4 linked regions of the Drosophila melanogaster genome follow. The protein of the gene in region 4 purifies or fractionates together with the protein of the main gene of each other region. This does not show direct contact. Each region holds a gene or a part of one and is shown on either strand. Other genes may lie near its edges. The genes, in order: CG4570, CG10638, CG14715 and Trxr1.

Region 1 (3,337 bases), on a different chromosome or scaffold from region 4:
ATTGCTAATCTTTTCCAGGGTCATGGCACCTACACCGAGCTGGCCGACGAAAAAGAGTTCTTCGAGATGTCGAAAAAGTCGCCCAACATTGTTTGCCACTTTTACCGCGACAGCACCGAGCGCTGCAAGATCGTGGACATGCACCTGAAGATCCTCGCGGCCAAGCACGTGGAGGCCAAGTTTTGCAAGGTGAATGCCGAAAAGACTCCATTCCTCACCCAGCGACTGCGCATCAAGGTGATACCCACCATCGCCCTGGTGAAGGACAGCAAGACCAAGGACTTCATTGTCGGATTCACCGATCTGGGCAACTGCGACGACTTCGCCACCGAAATGCTGGAGTGGCGCATCGCCCACTCGGGGGCCATTGACTACAAGGGCGATCTGATGCAGCCACCAGATGTGAAACGCAAACCATTCATCAACCGCCCACAGAAGACAATACGTGGAGGCTACGACTCGGATGACTCCGATATAGATCTGGATGACTAACTACGGGCAGTCCATCCCACACTCTCGATTACCCAAGCTCCAGCTTTCGTTCCACACTCCCACACAAGATACACTCAAAAGCGATGGAGTAACAAAAACGGACACACACAAATCAAAACCTAGCACATGGATCTAAACCAATTAGGCGTACTCTAGCGTTATTTATTTAATTATACGATTCCGATCCCTCTGCTACGGTCCCATCGCCACCTAGTGTAAGTGGCTAATTCGGTTGCCTTCCCCCCCGATTATGTGCTTTAATATCTATCAGTTCAATCAGCTGCCTCGAAGGCTGCGCCACTCTAGCGAGCTTAAGCGAACTCAAAATTTGATCTTTATGGTATTTGCAATTCCAAATGAATGTGCACCCTTTGCGTATATATGTTAAGTTGAGCATAGTTTTACAAACTGCCCTCGCCCTCCAGAAAACGGTGTACGTAAAACAAGAAACTAACATACACAGAGCATAAAAGACAAGAAACTAAATATCTGGCATATATATATTTTTAAAATTTCGATAAAAGGTGTATTGCATTTCCTACAGTAGAGGTAACTAACACTTACATATGTACAAGTTTTTATATTTATTTTTGTAATTCTACAAAGCATCAAAGGAAATCAACGATTAAATAGCATGTTCAAAACAATTGCAAGCGCTTGGTAATTGGTTGTAAACTTAAATGGTTCCCACACAGGTTTTTTGCATTTCAGATCGTACTCTTGGTAATATTTTATTTAAATCATACACGGGAAAGGCAGCTTTTTATTAAAATATGACTTTTTAACAAAAAGACTAGAATTTCTTTAAGAACTTATTATTTTCATCATTTATCGATATTATTAAACCTTACTTGGAAAACACAGAACTGATCATCGGGTTAAATAGTTTTGAATGAAATAATCCTGAAATAATAGGTTTGAACAAACTACGCTGCAGTTAAAGTAATGGTATTTCCCCGAACAGCTGATCATGAGATTCCGAAAATCCTCCCTTAACACAAGGGTTGCCAGTCTTGCCGCAGACGAATAACGGAATGGCCGCCAAAGACAAAAAGGGACGCCAACTGAATTTACCTGTAATGACGCCGTAATCCCGCCAATTGCAGCTTGCTCGCCATAAAACTACGGTCCAGACTATCGTCAAAATCGGTGCAAAAACTTTTACCTGCCAGGTGCATAAAACGCCCATCGAGGATTCGATTTACCATCATTGGTATTGTGAAACTCGAGGTGTACAGAAGTGATTCGAAATGGTTCTCGCTCCCGAAGTTCGAAGTATTGTGAAGGCGCTGAAGGGCTCGAACAGCTGTGAGGAGATAGCCCAGATCCTGGAGTGCGACGTGGAGAGCGTGATAAGCTGCATTCGTGAGTGTGAGCTGCTCGAGGGGAAGACTGCCACGCTGAGGTTGCCGCAAAAACTGAAAACAGCGGCGCCCGTGGCGGTTGCGCAGGAGGAGGAAAAGAAGCGCGATGTTGGCAGACCCAAGGTCCTGGAGAACCGGCAAATTGTCGAGCAAATGCTGAGCGACAATCCGCACTACACCTCCATCGATGTGCAGCGGGAGTTGGCCCGACACGGCATAGAGGTCAGCCGCAGGACCTTGCAGCGCAGGATCAGCGAGATTCGCTCCAAAGGCATACGGCAACCGAGAGGATCGCCACAGCCGAAGGAGCCCAGCACTTTCGGCCTCAGTGAGGGGGCGAAAAAAAGGAGGTTGGCCTGGGCCACCGCCCATCAGGATTGGACCGTGCGCGACTGGCGCAACATCTTCAACATGGACGATCTTAAATTCGTCGACGAATCAACGCCGCCAAAGGAGATCTTCCTTGACTCGCTGATGGGACCGGAGGGCAGTGTCTGCAATGACCTCAATCTCCTCGAGCAATTGATGGCCATCATCCAGCCGAGGATTCAGAATCAGGCGCCCAAAAATGTCAGCGAGTTTCGAGCCGTCTTGTACGACGTCTGGCACAGCGACCAGGACATGGTGGACAAAATTGAGATGCTCTACGAGTCGATGACGTGGCGGGTCTCAGCGGTCCTCCGCAACGGCGGGGATCAGACCGAGTTCTGCTAGCCAAGCTGTGGATTCCAATCGCACCCTGATTCTTGAATGTTGTATTGAAAATAACGACGTTCATGATCTTGTTTAATTTGACATATTATTAAGTTTGTAGTGGCCATATAATGTACATGGTACACTCTGATTAGATTCGCGGCGTAGGATTAAATATCTTCATTTTTTGAAACTATAACTATAAAAAAACATATACATTTTAATAAAGTGTAAAACAATATAATATCAACGATGTTTCAACAGCTTGGGAAATATTTCTTAAAAGTAATAATGTTTCAGAATACAAGCCAATTATTATTTTATTAAACAAACTTTAAATATGTATAACAATTTTATTTGATAAATGAACACTTTTTCATCATTAGAGTATGTTGTTAATTCGCCTCCTGAATTGCTTTTGGTTTCTTCGAAATTGACCATATATATTGCAATATAACAGCAATAGAATAGACTATTCCAATAACTATAAAATAGAATGCGTAGACGGAAAACTGTTGAAAAACATTCAAATTCAGATTGGCCTTTTCCGAGACGACGACAAATGTGAGGATGCACTGCAGGAGGAGTCCCACGAACGTGTTGAAACCAAACACCAGAGCGAAGCTATCCTCCTCCAAGCTGCTGGCCAACTCCGAGCTATAAGGTATTACGAGATTTGGTAAATTTCACCTGTTGGAAAAGGATCAAGAACTGCTTACCTGGCCACTGTTATGGTGAAGGCAAACAGGCCTCCATACAGCACATAGCCAAGATAGGACAGATATATA
Region 2 (5,332 bases), on a different chromosome or scaffold from region 4:
GTGCTATTTACAAAGGTCTACGGCGGCGCGATTAACCCAAAATGTACCCAACAATCCAAAGATAATTAGCCTGTCGGGCGTAATAGGTACATCAACTAATAGCCATAATACTTTCATGCTTCATTTCTGCGGTTGGCGCAACTAATAGCTTCCGCGTGATATTTTTTGGCCATACATCAGAATAGAAGATCCATTGATAAGAGAATGTTGGCAAACAAAAAATGCGTCCTTAAAATTGATGTAGCAATTTAGGCTAACAGCTGGCAATCAGCACAAGTTCTTCTAAAAGAACGTTTTTTAAATCACATATCCATCTTAAATCCATATGCTTTTTTACGTCTTATTTACTTACTAAACTTTTTTCTATTTTCTATATCTAAAGTTACTGTAGAAAAGCTTGAAGCACCTTCTAAAAATATCACTAGTTCATTAATCAATGTCTAAGCTGAACAACTATTGAAATGATTGAAATAATGCAGGTATACAGTTTTTTCCACATGTAACTTAAATTTGAATCTCCATTGGTGATCTCCAAGTTTGAGCACTTCGCATTACCATTGGTCGTAAAAGCTTAATACTTAATATTTCGGTCTTATTCAAACATTTTCACCTTTTAGCTTGGATGTCAAACGTGCCGTGCCAAAGATCGATGCTTCCATTTGCTCCTCATTTCTGGGAATAAGTTCCACGGTGGGGTGCGGATCGGATCGTTGGCAACTGGACGGATTTCATGGAGAACATCAAGGCACTAAGAGCTTTGTGTTGGATTTGGGTTTGGAATAAGTATGCAGATACATTCGTGCATTCAATTTGTTGTCATAGAGATTGATGTAATGACAAATTTATTACATTATATTCGTGATACAGCAACAAGGCGCTCATCTGGTTTAAAACTCAATTGAAAAGGGGTAGTACTTGTGGTTGAGGCCCTTAATCAAATTTAATGGCACCACCCGTTCGCCAGTGTGATAACCATCGAGAACGGCCATTTCCTCGGCTGTCAGCTCAAAATCGAAGATATCGAAGTTCTCAGAAATTCGGTTAGTATTCGATGACTTTGGAATGGGAATGACACCCAGACCAACCTGCGAAAAGAGAGATTTTAATTAGATGCTGTCGCTGAGGTCAGGTTGATGCCTCAATTACCAGGTAACGCAGCACAATCTGCGGTGTAGTCTTGCCATATTTTTTGGCAATAACAGCCACCTCCGGCGAATAGATAAAGTCCGGCTTCTGAATATCCGGCTTGGGCTTTCCCAAAGGCGTGTAGCCCGTCAAGGTGACGTCGTTCTTCTTGCAGAAGGCTGTCAAAGCCTTCTGGTTGAGCGCAGGCGAGCACTCCACCTGGTTAGTGACGGGTTTGATCTCGCAGTTGGCCAAAACTCGTGCCAGCTGCTCGCTGTTGAAGTTGGATACTCCGATGCTGCGCACCAGGCCCAGTTTTACCAGCTTTTCCATGGCTTTGTACGTATCCAGATAGTCGACATCGCTCAGTTGGAGCACATCGTCCTCATTTTTGGGCAGCAGGGTGTTGTCATCTACATATTTGTAGCCCACTGGCATATGCATCAGATACAGATCGATATAGTCCAAGCCAAAATTGCTTAACTGCTTGCGGCAAATGCCCTCAACGCGCTCTGGATCGTGGAAAATGTTCCAAAGCTGCGCAAAAATATAATCTTATTGATAGATCTAGAACATATCATCATGGCATTTACCTTAGTGACCAAAAATATATCCTCTCGCTTGACCACACCTTCTGCGATCTTGTCCCGAATCGCCTTGCCCACTTCGGCCTCGTTTTGGTAGAAATAGGCCGTATCTATATGACGATAGCCCACATCAATCGCATGTTTCACAGCGGCTTCGCCTTCGTTGTCCTTCGACTGCAAATAGAGAATATCAAATTCATCATTAACCTTTCTCCTTTCTGACAGAATCAAATATGTGTTTTATAATGCGACTCTTGAGATCAGTATATTGTTATTTTCGACCACAGCAACACGTTCGTTTCGGCCAGGAAATTGTGAGCATATCGGAGAGCCGCGAATTGACAAATCGAAACAATATCCGAAATTATACAACTGATCAACGTCGCAAGGCACACGAAAGATTCGATAAACTTTGATAGAGACATTTAGAGAGATACAAATAATTATTTCCCCAGGTGAGCACTTAAAATGTTAATAGGATCATATCTAGCACAAAATATAGTATATTTATATATGATAACGATTGATATGATGACATTTTATAACATTGTAATATTGTACTAAAAAAAAACTAACGTAAAAACTAAACTATCTAACGAGATTCTATCTTATACATTTACATAGTTACACTTTTTTTCCGAACACTAAATATCTCTTGCTAGTACGGATAGTACTGATGATTCTTCGCTTTATCGAATTTCCAGATTCTGCGCCCTGTATTAAAGGTCTTCATTTGGAGCAACTCCTCCGGCGTTAGGTGGAAATCAAATATATCCAGATTCTCTACGAGATGGGCTCGCTGGGCAGCTTTTGGAATAGGTACCGTGCCAATATCGATCTGTAGATTTTTAGCCAATAAATATCTTTATCACTTTACAATTCTAAGGTCGTTTATACCAAGTATCTTAGGATGATTTGAGCTGGTGTCTTGCCGTATTTCGCTGCCAACGCCAGTAGCTTGGAATCAGTGTAGTAATCGGGCAGCGGATTGCAGGCTTTGGGACGCCCCAGTGGCGAATAGGCAACCACGGTGATATTGTGAAATTTACAGAGCTCAATTAATGGGACTTGCACCAATTCCGGATGACATTCTATTTGTAGGTTTGCCGGCTTGATTTGGCAGTTTTCCAGTAATCTCTTCAGCTGATTGGCATTAAAGTTGGACAATCCCAAGCTGCGCACCAGCCCCAGATGCACCAGTTGCTCCATACTTCTGTAGGTGTCCACATAGTCCACATCGCTATAAGTTCCAAAGATCAGTTTCTTTAAGCTTCTTGAATCTAAACTATGTATGTTTAGTTGTATCCCAAACTCACTTGGTCCTCAGCTGGCCATTCTCGTGGGGCATCAGATCTTCATCAGAGATGTAGTCCACGCCCACCGGCGAATGCATCAGATATAGATCTATATAGTCCACGCCCAGTAGCTTTAATTGCATATCACAGGCGTATTTCACCATCTTGGGTTCGTGGTATATGTCCCACAGCTAATTGGATATTGATTTTCGATCTATTTACATGTGCTGGTAACTATATATAACCCATCTGTACTATATCCTACCTTTGTGACCAGAAACACCTGTTCGCGTTTCAGTTTCTGGTCGCCAATAAGTTTAGCTAAAACCTTGCCTATAATGCCTTCATTCCTGTACAGATATGCGGTGTCTATATGCCGATAGCCCATTTCGAGGGCGTGGCACACGGCAGCCTCACAGCGAGACTTCTTTAACTACAGATAACATAATTAACTTTCAATTTCACAATTGCACTTAATTGGAATTGAATGGTAGAAATTTCCATAAACAATTTCTGCCTGCTGATTTATTAGCATCGCCGATGATAAGGACTTACATTGTAGGTTCCTAGGCCCAGAATTGGCATCTCGTAGCCATTGTTTAGCTTAACAGTCGGAGCGAGCTTCATTTTGCACGTTTAAATCAAGAATAAATAAGGAAATTCAATCGCTTAATAAAAAAAAAGCCGGTGAGCATAGTGTGACCAAAACGGCTTTGCGTAAAAATACCCAATGCCATTCTGCTAAGCTTTATTATTTAAATATTTTTAAGTGTTTAAATAGCTAAAGAAACTTTGATTTATATTAAATAGGAACAAATGTTGTCATAAAACAGTGTTAATTTTATGTTAAAAAGTAAAATGTTCAAATTTAATTACGGCAGTGCTTTTGCATTTTGGCAGCTTGCAGCACTGGTTTATAACTAGTACTTAAACAGCTGTTACGAAAATATCTTTTTTTTTAAGAAATCTAAACAAAAGAACTTTTAAAATAGATGGAAACATGAGATCCATTTGAAAACGTAAATAAAAATAGAAAAAACTAAAACTGCCAGCAAACGCACACAAAGCAGAGTTCAAGTTGTCGCAAAGAAACCTTGAGACCTTGAAAAGCAAGTAAACAAATCAATTTTTGTGTTCTCCCTTATTATAAACAAATAAATTCTAGGCTACAATGAGCCACTTGGGCCTTGCGGATGTGCACCAGTCCGAGGATGCCACTCCTGACCTGGAATCCTTCACTGGCTTCGGCAACTCCGCCGCCGAGGCCTTCATTCAAAGTCTCGCAGGAATGGTGAATCAGGGCGATGTGGAGACCATGATACGGGCTCAAAAGCAAATGTAAGCCATTTCATTTAACCAGAGATTATAATAAACATCCAAAATATATCCCACAGGCTGCAACGCTTTGAGAAAACCAACGAGATGCTGCTCAACTGCAATGCCTTATCGCAGAGTCGTTTGAAAAGTGCCAGCGAGGATTTCAAAAGACACGTGAAATGCCTGAGCGAAATGAAGAAGGATCTGGATTACATATTCCGCAAGATACGGATCATCAAGCAGAAGCTACAGTCGCAGTTTCCCGCCATTTACGCCGAAGTTCAGCCGCAGCGTAGCAGTTTGGCTGAGGAAGCCGAGGATGATACGGAAGCCCAGGCTAAAAAGACTGCAGAAACACCTGCTCCTGCTGCCGCAAAACCTGTCCTATCCACCAAGAAAAGTGCCGCCACCATAGAGTACGTGCAGATGGAGGAGGCAGTGGACAATGGCACTGTGGAGATCGAAAACGAGCTGATCAAGCGAGTTTGTTCCGTGGAAACTGCCAATCCCAATGATTCCTCCGACTGCACATCCGAGGATACAGGTTAAGCCTAATTAGCTTTAGTCCCTCGATATATTTATCTTCATATAATAACTTATTGGTTTAATATTTGTATAACCTGCTACTACATACAAGGACACAATTCGTTTAGTTAGATTTAAATGAAATATGCGTAATAATTTAAGAAACTAATGGCTTAAAATATAATCTGGTACTTGTACTGCTTGGGCACCTTTGAGATTATGACGCGACCATCGTAGCTGAGCGAAGCAAAGATCCACGGATCCACATTGCTCCACTCCGCGCAGTAAACGGAGTCCTCGTGCTGATCGAAGGTCTGCAGCAGACCATCTGGCAAGAGTTTGTGCCTCTCCTCGGCATCGGCACCACTGAAGTTGGACTCATCTAGTCCAGCCTGAACCTGCGTCTCCGAACTAACCGATCCCGCACACGTGAGCAGCACCTTGCAGTCACTGGAGCTGGAGAGGATCAGTTGGTCGTGGAAT
Region 3 (3,167 bases), on a different chromosome or scaffold from region 4:
AGTCGCGCCTGAACAATCATATTCGCGATGTGCACATTAACGGCGACCGCAAGCGCAAGGAGGCAATTAAGCGCTTCCTCTGCTCCCTGTGCGGAATGGAGACGAGATCAGCCGCCGCTCTTGTGACCCATATGCGACGCCACACTGGCGAGAAGCCCTTCAAGTGCGATCTGTGCGAAATGGCCTTTCCCCGCCACTCAGAGCTGGCCTCGCACCGCCGGATGCACACCGGCGAGAAGCCATTCCACTGCACCGTCTGTGGCAAGGACTTTGCCCGCTCCGATAAGCTCAAGCGCCATATGCTTACGCACAGCGGCCTAAAGCCGCACAAATGCACCTACTGCGAGAAGAGTTACCGTCAGGCCAAGGACCTGAAGCTTCATCTCCAGCAGCACACCGGCGAATGTCCTTTCGTGTGCGGCACCTGTGGCGAGCGCTTCATCCAGAGCAGCACGCTGGAGAAGCATCGGTTGATGCGGCGTCACTTCGACGAGGTGGAAGCGTGGCTGAGACGCCAAAAGTAAGGGGCTCTTGCAATAAATACAATTTGGTCTAGTATAAAAGGAATGACATTATTATTTATTGGTCGTGGCGTGGCATCACTTCAGAAACAAGACAAATTACTACTTTAAATATTTGAGCATTAAATGTTTATGACTTTAGTTGAAAGTAAACTTTGGGTGTAGCATGGAATGCCTATTTGTGGCCCTATTCGCTTTACAGCTCTTCAGATCCAGAGCGCGGTTCGATTTTTACCAACTCCGTATCGAAGACGAGCACCGCATTGGGGGGAATCTTTCCGCCACCCGCTCCACTGGCTCCGTATCCCAGCTCAGGCGGAATCGTCAGCTTTCGCTGCTCACCCTCACACATACCAAGGATTCCCTGATCCCAGCCCTTGATCACCTGCCGAGCTCCCAGGGTAAAGGAGAAGGGAGTGCCGCGGGAGTAGCTGCTATCGAACTCTGTTCCATCCTGCAGTGCTCCCTAGAATGATTCCAAATTCGGGGTTAGGTCGGCTAGAGATCTTCCTTATCTGATTTCCCTTACTCTGTAGTGCACGTGGACGAGATCGCCGCCCTTGGCCTTCCGGGTGCAGTTCTCCACCCGCTTCTTAATGCCAATCTTCACTTTCGGATCGCTGGCAGCGGAGGCGGCCACAAAAGCGCAGATTAACAAAATATAAGTTAACTTCATCTTATCGAAAGCCAGTATCAAAAAACACTCGCGGTTTAGTGTGACCAGAGATCTACAATAATTTAACTTGTTCCCACTGCACACATAAAACCAAATAAATATAACAACTCAAATAGTTTTCAACGAAATTAAGAGATTAAAACTTGTTTTTTTTTTTTAACTTTGAAAAAATTAGTAACCAAAAGAAATTTTATGTAAATAAGAGAAAGATCAGAAGTGCAGTAGTATCGGTTCATAGTTAAAACCCAATCAAAAAAGGTCTCACTTAAATGCGAAGCCCGCGAAATTTAAAACTTCAAAAACCACTGCTGGACATATTTTTTCTTGTAATTTACAATAATATGAGTATAGTACAGCTCGGACTTAAAAATAACTTACGTACATTAAAGCTCATTTAAAATAGATACACACATTGTTTGATTACATATTTGACTTTCTTAAAACAAGGAGAGCTCCAAATAATGATCATTTGCTCCGGATTATATGGCCCCGAAGCGCGTGACAGTGCAAAAACAAAAATTGACATTATAAATATGCAACAGATTATCAGGAGATATACGAATGTACGATTATATCACAATAATAAAGGAATACATACAATTTAAATGATATTTAAAGCCCGACATACAACGAAGCCTACGCTTAATTAGGTGCCAACATTCAAGCATAATACTAATTTACACTAATATTTCGTATAAAACATAGCTACTATTATTACAAAGGGTCCCATTGATCAGTGCTGTAAGGGTGAAAGGTGAACTCAATCGCAAATTCGGTTTCCACTCGATGGGCTCTGCCGCTAACACTGCCATCTGGCTTTCAGTTGTCATTGGACAGATTTGTGATCTTGGCCGCATACATGCTGGCCACCTTGTAGATAAATTCATACTGCTCCTTGGTCTGTACGGCGCTGGCACGTCCGCGTCGCACGTAGTAAACCAGTTGGGGGATGTCCACGGACCGCTTCGGTGTTTCCAGACTGCGGATGGCCATGTCCGACGCTATAATGGTACCGGTTCGTCCCGTGCCTGGAGAACAGTGAACGGTTAGCGGTCTGCAGGGGGAGAGATGAAGAAGTTAAGACACAGAACATTAAAAAGCCATGCAACACACAACAACTGCTTTGATATGAATGGATGGAGATTATGTCAACCTACCCCTGCTGACTTCGTGTTCCGCTTCGACTTGAGATGTTTCCATTAATCTCGTGGCTGGACGTGCTGCCCGCCTCGGCTTTGCTGCCGTCCGCATCCATTGACGTCTCCAGGGTCGCGGACTTCTCGCGCAGCTCGTTGGCCTGCTCAAGGGAGTAGGACTTCAGCGAGGATCGCGCTTCCAGCAGCATGGCGATGATGGGCGCCTCCTCGGCCGGTACACCCGCCTCAGGCCATTTGTACCAGTAGTGGGTGAGCTCACGGCTCTCCTCGCCATCCACTCGCTTCAGAACCAATGTGGAAATGGCATAGCGATCCTTGACTTCGCGATGCTTGAGGGTCACCTGGTAATCGCCATAGCTGCTATGATTGTCCAGAGTCGCCGACGGTGGCAGGTACTCGGCGCACCTCTCAATTCCGTTCTCACTGAGATCCGTCGCCTGGATGATCACCCGCGACTGCTGTTCCCAGATCATGCGCCAGAAATCGCTGGTCGTGCTCTCCAGCGGCGCCTGGCAGGCTATGTAGTAGTTGGGTGCATCCCTCGGGCCCTGAAGTGATTAAAAAAGGTATCAAAATGATGTCTTTCCATTGGATAGCATACTAGTATTATTTGAATTTGAAGCTATCTAGCGTTTTTCGGCAAAAAGACGACGCGAGGTTGAGTAATGACATAACCATCAATTAAAACCGATTGCGGCTTAACTCTACCCCTGCCCACACAATGACTGGCGATCAGCTACGCGCGCCTCTCAGATAAACGATACCATAAAATCGCACAACAGACCTCTGCTGCTTGAATCTCGACATGCTTAG
Region 4 (6,930 bases):
GCATCCAATCGGAGATACCACCTCGAAAGTGTTCCATACATACATATATGATTAATGCTAATTCCTTATAGAAGCTATTGAATTCTCTTTGCTGTTCATTAATTGATTGCATCAATTTACTGTCTTAATTTGATTTTGATTTGCTTGCGAGGATTCCTTAGGTCATAAACTTCAACCTTTTCGTAGCTTCTATTACACTTTATCACGCACTGTTTTTCCTTTGAAAACTAAAGTATAATTTATTACCCACTGATATATGTATCTCCAGGGTGCCATCGTTCGTAGCTGATTTATAGCCCTCGAGGGCAAAGATTCCCCTAGCAATGGCATTAGCAATTAGTCGGGTGGCTAACAAGTTGTCAGGCTGGCAGACAGAATCGATTTAGCCAGGTCAAGTCAAGCCATTTGCATGGCTAATGAACTTACTTGATTGAAAAGGCAGAGGAAGGGCTAAAGGTCGAGGTATGTTTTAAAGGAAATGCACAGAACTGAAACACAGAGGGGTTTGTTGGTGAAAAATTATATTCTTCAACCGTACATTTAGGGGATTTCATAGTTAATTTCATAGGTTCAAACAAATTCAAAATTTTGAGTGCATGTCGGCGGCGCAGCAGTCGTGGGTTGGGCTGGTCGCGCGGGTAGTTCCACTGGTGTCGTTCCACCCGCCATCGCTGCCCAGTGCCCCTCCCTTGCGCAGAGCTATTGTGTTGGGTGTTAATTGTGGAAACGAAACGGAACTATTGAACTCATCGATCGCTGGGCCGCGACAACAACCATTCATCTACGGGATTTCGGGTGGAGCAAGCGGCTTCGACACGTCCCAGGCGGCTGAGCTGCGTTCCCGCTTTAGCTGCAGCAGCTGGCCGGCGTGGGGTCCAGTCCGGAGCGCTTGGTGATGGCCAGCCGGGTGAATTCTTCGGCGGTAGTGGGATGGATGCCCACGGTGTTGATCAGCGTGTTAATAGTCAGGCCAGACTTCAAAGCGGCAGCGAATCCCTGGATAACCTCACCGGCCACCGGGCCAATATAGTGCAGTCCATAGACGCGCTGGTCACCATGGCGCTCGGCCACAGCCTTCAAGTAGCAGTAGCGCACGCTCTTCTGGGGAATGAAGAACTCCGTGGGCTTGTAGTAGCCGTGGAACACCTCGATCTCATCGGCTCCGAACTGCTTGACGGCATCCTCCTCGCTCAGGCCGACGCAGGCGTACTCCAGGGGCGTGAAAACGGTGGTGGCCACATCCTTGTAGTCCATGCGCTGGGTAGATCCTCCGTACAGGCGGCGGGCCAGCAAACGGCCAGCCAAAACGGCGACGGGCGTCAGCTCTGGCTTGCCATAGATGATATCGCCGACAGCGTAGATGTTTGCCACATTGGTAGCCTCCTGGGAGTCCACTGGAATCTTGTCCTTCTGCACAGTCACGCCGGCATTGGGCAGGTTCAGATCGTCCACCAGACCCTTGCGGCCGATGGCCCACAGAACGGTGTCGTAAACATCCTCGGCCTCCTCGCCGGTCTCCACGTTCTTGTACTTCACGAGCAGCTTGCCATCATCCTGCTTTTCCACGGACAGCGGCACCGTCTTGCGGAGGAAGGGAATGCCACGCTCCTCCATCGAGGCTGCCACCAGCTCGGCCATCTGCTGGTCGAAGCCACGCAGCACAATAGAACGCACCATCACAGTGGGCTCGTAGCCGAGACCCTTCAGGAATCCAGCGCACTCCAAGCCAATGTCTGAGTGAAAGAGCAGAAACCGAATGGGTTATTCATCAATTTGATGTAAGCAAATGAAAGTAGCTACTTACAGCCAGCTCCCACCACCAGGGTCTTGCCGGGCTCGCGGTCCAAACTGAACAGATCATCGCTGGTGATGCCATACTCGACAGCACCGGGAATATCCGGATAACGTGGTCGGCCGCCAACGGCAATGACGAAGGTCTGGGCGGTGATTGTGCGCTCGCCGCTCTTCAGCTTGGCCAGCAGTGTGTGCGAGTCCACGAAGGAGCCCAGTCCATTGATGTACTCCACTTTCCTGAGCGCAAATAGAAGGGTATAATTAGTGGGGATGCTCGAGCGGAAGCCATAGATATAGTCACACTTACTTGTCGCGCAGATCCACACGGGTCACCCAGTTGACGGACTTGATGTGGTTCTGTACGGACTGCACCAGCTTGTGCCAGTCTGGCTTGATCTTTTCGTCCACGTTCCAGCCGTAGGCGGCCGCCTCATGGACAGCCTCGCCCAGAAGGGAGGCCTGGTGCATCAGCTTCTTGGGAATGCAGCCCACGTTCACGCAGGTGCCGCCAACGCCCCACTTGGTGCCCAGAGTGGGCGTGGGCTTAACGAAATCCAGACAGGCCACACGGGCTCCATTGAGGACTGCCTCCTTGGCGCAGGCCAGGCCAGCTGAGCCGCCTCCAATCACAATAAGGTCGTAGTCGTAGGATCCTGCAGGAGAAAAAAGGTTTTCGTTTGATTCATCGCCTTTTGTCTATAGAAATATGTAATCTACTGCCAAAATTGGGCTTAAAGAGGTCAAGAGGTCACAGAACATGAGGAGCCGTCAGGAAATCTAATCGTAGCACAGCCAATTCACCTTGTATTATTAAAAACTTATCACCGTTAGTAACATCAATAGCCATGTTGTATTGGCATGGTCTGTTTTTGTTCTTAACCAGTATCTAGATTAGTTGAAAATCCTTATCAGTGATAGGTAATGATATCAATTAGCCATGTGGTGCCAACTACTCAAGTTTCTCTTTAGCTTCACTCATGATTATGGCTAATCCCCGCCTGCCTTTGGTGGACTCCTCGCGCAGTCGTATGTCCAGATAGGCGGATCGGTAGATGCTCCTCCGGTGGCGTGGTTCACCCTCGACCAACTGGGAAGCCGGTATGAATTCGAACAGATGCATCCAGACCAAAGAAGTGCGGAACGAAGACTGTTTGGCCTCCTGCAATCCGTAATCTGCACCGTGCAATCCCGTCGAGCTCCTTGGCTTCAGTTGCCAGGTAGCGATAGTGCTGCCGAATGCCACACATGCCACTGGGTCAGTGGGAGTTCGAATCAAAGTGGAGCAATCATCTAGCGACATCGCCACACACCAAGCCACGCCCATCCCAGCCCGGCCACGCCTTTCTTCCGTCCGTCCACCTACGCCCCCCCATTCGGTTTGCTTTGACCCGCCGGACTTTGTCATGGTTACGCCCCAAAACTAGTTGGCAACACCACACACAATTCGCTTTTATCGGACGGAATGCTAATCCTGGCCAGGAACAGGGGGAAATCAGGTGGCTACGTACGAATGCGAGTGCAAATAAACAATTGTTGTCGTCACACTGCAATTAATTGCGGAATGAAGTGGTGATGACGCAGCTCAGCAATGATGATGAAAGATCAAAGACGATGGCGGGCGCTCGTTGAGCGACGGATACGAGAGATACGAAATAGAAAACACAGATAAAGGGAATAAATGCACCCGACTGATATGGTGAAATCATCATCATCATCATCATAAAGCGATTCTCGAACATTCCGCAAAGGGTTATTCGTTCAAGAGCACCGCATTCGACAAAAATCACACATATCACGTTGGTGCTTTAAGAAATCCTATTATACCCTTAATTACCATTTGAAATCAGAATATGGCATATATTTATAAGTAAATTCTTCTATTGTTTTCGGAATTAGAAGCTTCGTATCTGCTCGATTGGCTAATTATTCATTTAACAAGAAAACTTGATCGTGGCATGTGGGATTTATATTATATTACAAATTAAAACATCAAATACGTTTAACTTCATATAAATAGATATTAGTTTTTTTTTACCAGCTAAAGGCAAAATGGCAATACAAGTGACTTGTATGAATGTAATTTAACAAATATTATTAATTCGTTAAGTCATATGATGTAATTCTTTTTTGAGGCAAATAACTGATATTGTTTAAGCTGCAATTGAGTAATGGTTTTATGAGCAATCCATAATTCAATTAAAAAAATTCGACTGACATAGTATTTATACGCGATTCAGAACTTTGTTGACCATTATACTTAGAGGATGTGCTCTTTTTGGCGCCCACAACGATGGCGCAAATCATGTACTTCAGCATGATACGAGTTTCGAGTGCTGTTCGCGCGACCCCGACTGTACAATTCCAGTTGGAGCGGGTGCGCGATGACGATTGACGATGACGGTGCAAATGTGAGACAGCAAATGCCGGGCAGGCATATAAACCCTTGGCGAATACGTGCCGCAGAAACCCGATAAGCCAGGTAATAAGAGCAGAGTAATGGACTTTTTGGCCAGGCAACTAACGGTTATTGCATAATGGCGTCGGTTAAACACAAGAAGACCCAGAAAAAACAACAAGCAAGAAAACCGCGACAATCGACCGCGTTGCCAACCGGCGGCAACAGGAGCAGCAGCTGCGGCGGCAACAGCAAAGATCTAATCAGAATATCAATCGATATCGATGCTCACCTCCTTTGGTGCTCATCTTTCGCACCGGTTGCGCGTACATGGCCGCCCTGTCGCAATGTGGATGCTGGAAGGGTGGTGGTGCGCCGGCACCGGATCCGGCTGGAGCATTCCCACCGGTAGCTCCAGTACTGTCGCGTGATCCTCGCTGTCCCGTCAAGTTCATAGTTCGCTGAAACGTGTGATGGGCACAGCTGAGACTACTGGAAATCCAATGGGGAACCTTTGTTGTCAGTGAGCCTCTGTTTTGTATAATGCCAGCCGAAGGAGACGTTAAAATCGTCGAGCACTGCCGCACGAACGTAACGGAGAATCTCGAATTGCACAAGTTCATCTTGTTGGCCTTTCCCCTTCTTCAACGTTTGGCGTTTCACTCTACCAGCTGGAGGCGAAACGAAACTATTCGCGAAAAGGGTGCAGAAAAATGACGGCGGAACACACAACACAAACACGTTCGCTGGTTCGGCCGGGAATGCTGCGAAAGCGGTGGGCAGGCAGAGGCGCCGATAAACGGCTACGTAACAGAAGCAGCGAGAAAGAGAGAGGGCGCAAGAGCGCGTACCGCAAAAACGAGAATGTTTGGGATAAAATGGATTTGCCATAAAGGAGCATCCATTGGATTGCGAAATTCCATTTGGGATTTGAACATCACAACAGTTGTTCTGCCCTTTGCCAATTGGAAATGTGCGAAACGCACGTTTGGCAATGCGCAAGTGTATCGATAACTCGCGGATGGTTGGTAACACTGCTGCTGTCCGAACGAAACAGCCGGCCGTCAAAATTTTTCCTAACATTTCACTATTTTCACGCTTGTGTTACGGCAATAAAGTCGATTGATAAGCACGGAAAGATCTGGCTGCGGGTCTGGTGAAATCCACAGAACACACGGAACCCGTATAGTAGTGCCGCCCTTTATTGGTTTTATCTCAAGTACGACGCGATAAGATTTCGAGCAACTCGATCGCGGATCTTCGGAAAAAAAAAACATGAACTCCATCCTGATAACCGGCTGCAATCGAGGATTGGGTCTGGGCCTGGTCAAGGCGCTGCTCAATCTTCCCCAGCCGCCGCAGCATCTATTTACCACCTGCCGGAATCGCGAGCAGGCAAAGGTGAGAGATGTTTTCTTCTTATTTTGCGTTGTCTCTCTACTAAGACAATCCAGTAATCCAACAAAACCGGTGACTCACAACCGTCGAGCTACAGAAACTACAGAAGCTACGCGAACAATCCACAAGAGCCACTATTTCTACAAACCGCTTTTTAATCGTCCAAATGGGCATGCATAAATTGAATGGTTCAATTGGAATCGAATTAACTGTGAAACTCACCTTGCACGGGCGCCATTATTTTGTTGCTTGTTGGTAGGTGCTCCACGTAAATCAGACAGAAAACAAGGATCAACGGCGGGTAGTGAATGTTGTTGTAGTCGAAGCGGAAATGTAAAAACTGCTAAGCGTGTATTGTAGCGGCTCTCGGCACTCGCGAAAGCACGAAACGAATAAGCGGAGCCAACTTTTGCAATAGCTTTTGTACTTTCGTACGAGCGTGCGAAAGGGAGACGTCGATTGGCTTGTCGATTGCTGGGCCGACTATTGTTCGGTCACACCAGCAGCACTTATCGTCTATCGGTTATTATGGCACTAACGCGCTCGTTGGGCGCGCTATTTAAACTCTCATGAAATACCAAATTTGCCTCTAAAAATTACAGTAATTTAACTGGAAAATTATTCATATATAAACTGCTTTTTTACTAATAATGTGCTTCTTATTCAAACATTTTGTCTTTCCCAATTTGGCCCACAGGAGCTGGAGGATCTAGCCAAGAACCACTCGAACATACACATACTTGAGATTGGTAAGCATTATGTTTTACCAGCCGCTAAACACTCTCGCATATAAATATATTTTCCGTGCAGATTTGAGAAATTTCGATGCCTATGACAAGCTAGTCGCCGACATCGAGGGCGTGACCAAGGACCAAGGCCTCAATGTGCTCTTCAACAATGCCGGCATAGCGCCCAAATCGGCCAGGATAACGGCCGTTCGATCGCAGGAGCTGCTCGACACCTTGCAGACCAACACGGTTGTGCCCATCATGCTGGCCAAGGCGTGTCTGCCGCTCCTTAAGAAGGCAGCCAAAGCGAACGAATCCCAGCCGATGGGCGTGGGCCGTGCCGCCATTATTAACATGTCCTCGATCCTTGGCTCCATCCAGGGCAACACGGACGGCGGAATGTACGCCTATCGCACCTCTAAGTCGGCCTTGAATGCGGCCACCAAGTCGTTGAGCGTGGATCTGTATCCGCAACGCATCATGTGCGTCAGTCTGCATCCTGGCTGGGTGAAAACCGACATGGGTGGCTCCAGTGCCCCCTTGGACGTGCCCACCAGCACGGGACAAATTGTGCAGACCATCAGCAAGCTGGGCGAGAAACAGAACGGCGGTTTT

What was found.
Region 1: the proteins of Trxr1 (region 4) and CG4570 purify together in Drosophila melanogaster (affinity purification with mass spectrometry, with the first as the bait; one large-scale study listed by BioGRID). This does not show direct contact.
Region 2: the proteins of Trxr1 (region 4) and CG10638 purify together in Drosophila melanogaster (affinity purification with mass spectrometry, with the first as the bait; one large-scale study listed by BioGRID). This does not show direct contact.
Region 3: the proteins of Trxr1 (region 4) and CG14715 purify together in Drosophila melanogaster (affinity purification with mass spectrometry, with the first as the bait; one large-scale study listed by BioGRID). This does not show direct contact.

What each region holds. Positions count from the first base shown.
Region 1 is NT_033777.3:10,855,276-10,858,612, forward strand, and holds CG4570 (uncharacterized protein), read left to right. Parts: upstream 1-1,531; 5' UTR 1,532-1,742; coding exon 1,743-2,570; 3' UTR 2,571-2,791; downstream 2,792-3,337. Other genes in the region: CG4511 (uncharacterized protein), read left to right, coding at 19-492; CG14694 (uncharacterized protein), read right to left, coding at 2,945-3,206, 3,269-3,337.
Region 2 is NT_037436.4:12,497,603-12,502,934, forward strand, and holds CG10638 (uncharacterized protein), read right to left. Parts: upstream 3,710-5,332; 5' UTR 3,635-3,709; coding exon 3,563-3,634; intron 3,441-3,562; coding exon of another isoform or gene 3,273-3,440; intron 3,199-3,272; coding exon of another isoform or gene 3,029-3,198; intron 2,953-3,028; coding exon of another isoform or gene 2,610-2,952; exon of another isoform or gene 2,599-2,609; intron 2,551-2,598; coding exon of another isoform or gene 2,371-2,550; exon of another isoform or gene 2,199-2,370; intron 2,168-2,198; exon of another isoform or gene 2,000-2,167; intron 1,887-1,999; coding exon 1,719-1,886; intron 1,663-1,718; coding exon 1,147-1,662; intron 1,086-1,146; coding exon 888-1,085; 3' UTR 504-887; downstream 1-503. Other genes in the region: CG10681 (uncharacterized protein), read left to right, coding at 4,179-4,345, 4,402-4,873; CG10646 (uncharacterized protein), read right to left, coding at 5,023-5,332.
Region 3 is NT_033777.3:11,672,312-11,675,478, reverse strand, and holds CG14715 (uncharacterized protein), read right to left. Parts: upstream 1,259-3,167; 5' UTR 1,198-1,258; coding exon 1,051-1,197; intron 988-1,050; coding exon 718-987; 3' UTR 556-717; downstream 1-555. Other genes in the region: CG18476 (uncharacterized protein), read left to right, coding at 1-524; CG42327 (uncharacterized protein), read right to left, coding at 2,017-2,251, 2,355-2,902.
Region 4 is NC_004354.4:8,241,611-8,248,540, reverse strand, and holds Trxr1 (thioredoxin reductase 1), read right to left. Parts: upstream 4,960-6,930; 5' UTR 4,813-4,959; coding exon 4,482-4,812; intron 4,353-4,481; exon of another isoform or gene 4,111-4,352; coding exon of another isoform or gene 4,044-4,110; intron 3,154-4,043; exon of another isoform or gene 2,915-3,153; coding exon of another isoform or gene 2,797-2,914; intron 2,448-2,796; coding exon 2,102-2,447; intron 2,032-2,101; coding exon 1,805-2,031; intron 1,734-1,804; coding exon 847-1,733; 3' UTR 508-846; downstream 1-507. Other genes in the region: sni (sniffer), read left to right, coding at 5,465-5,590, 6,285-6,336, 6,398-6,930. UniProt on the Drosophila melanogaster protein: Thioredoxin system is a major player in glutathione metabolism, due to the demonstrated absence of a glutathione reductase.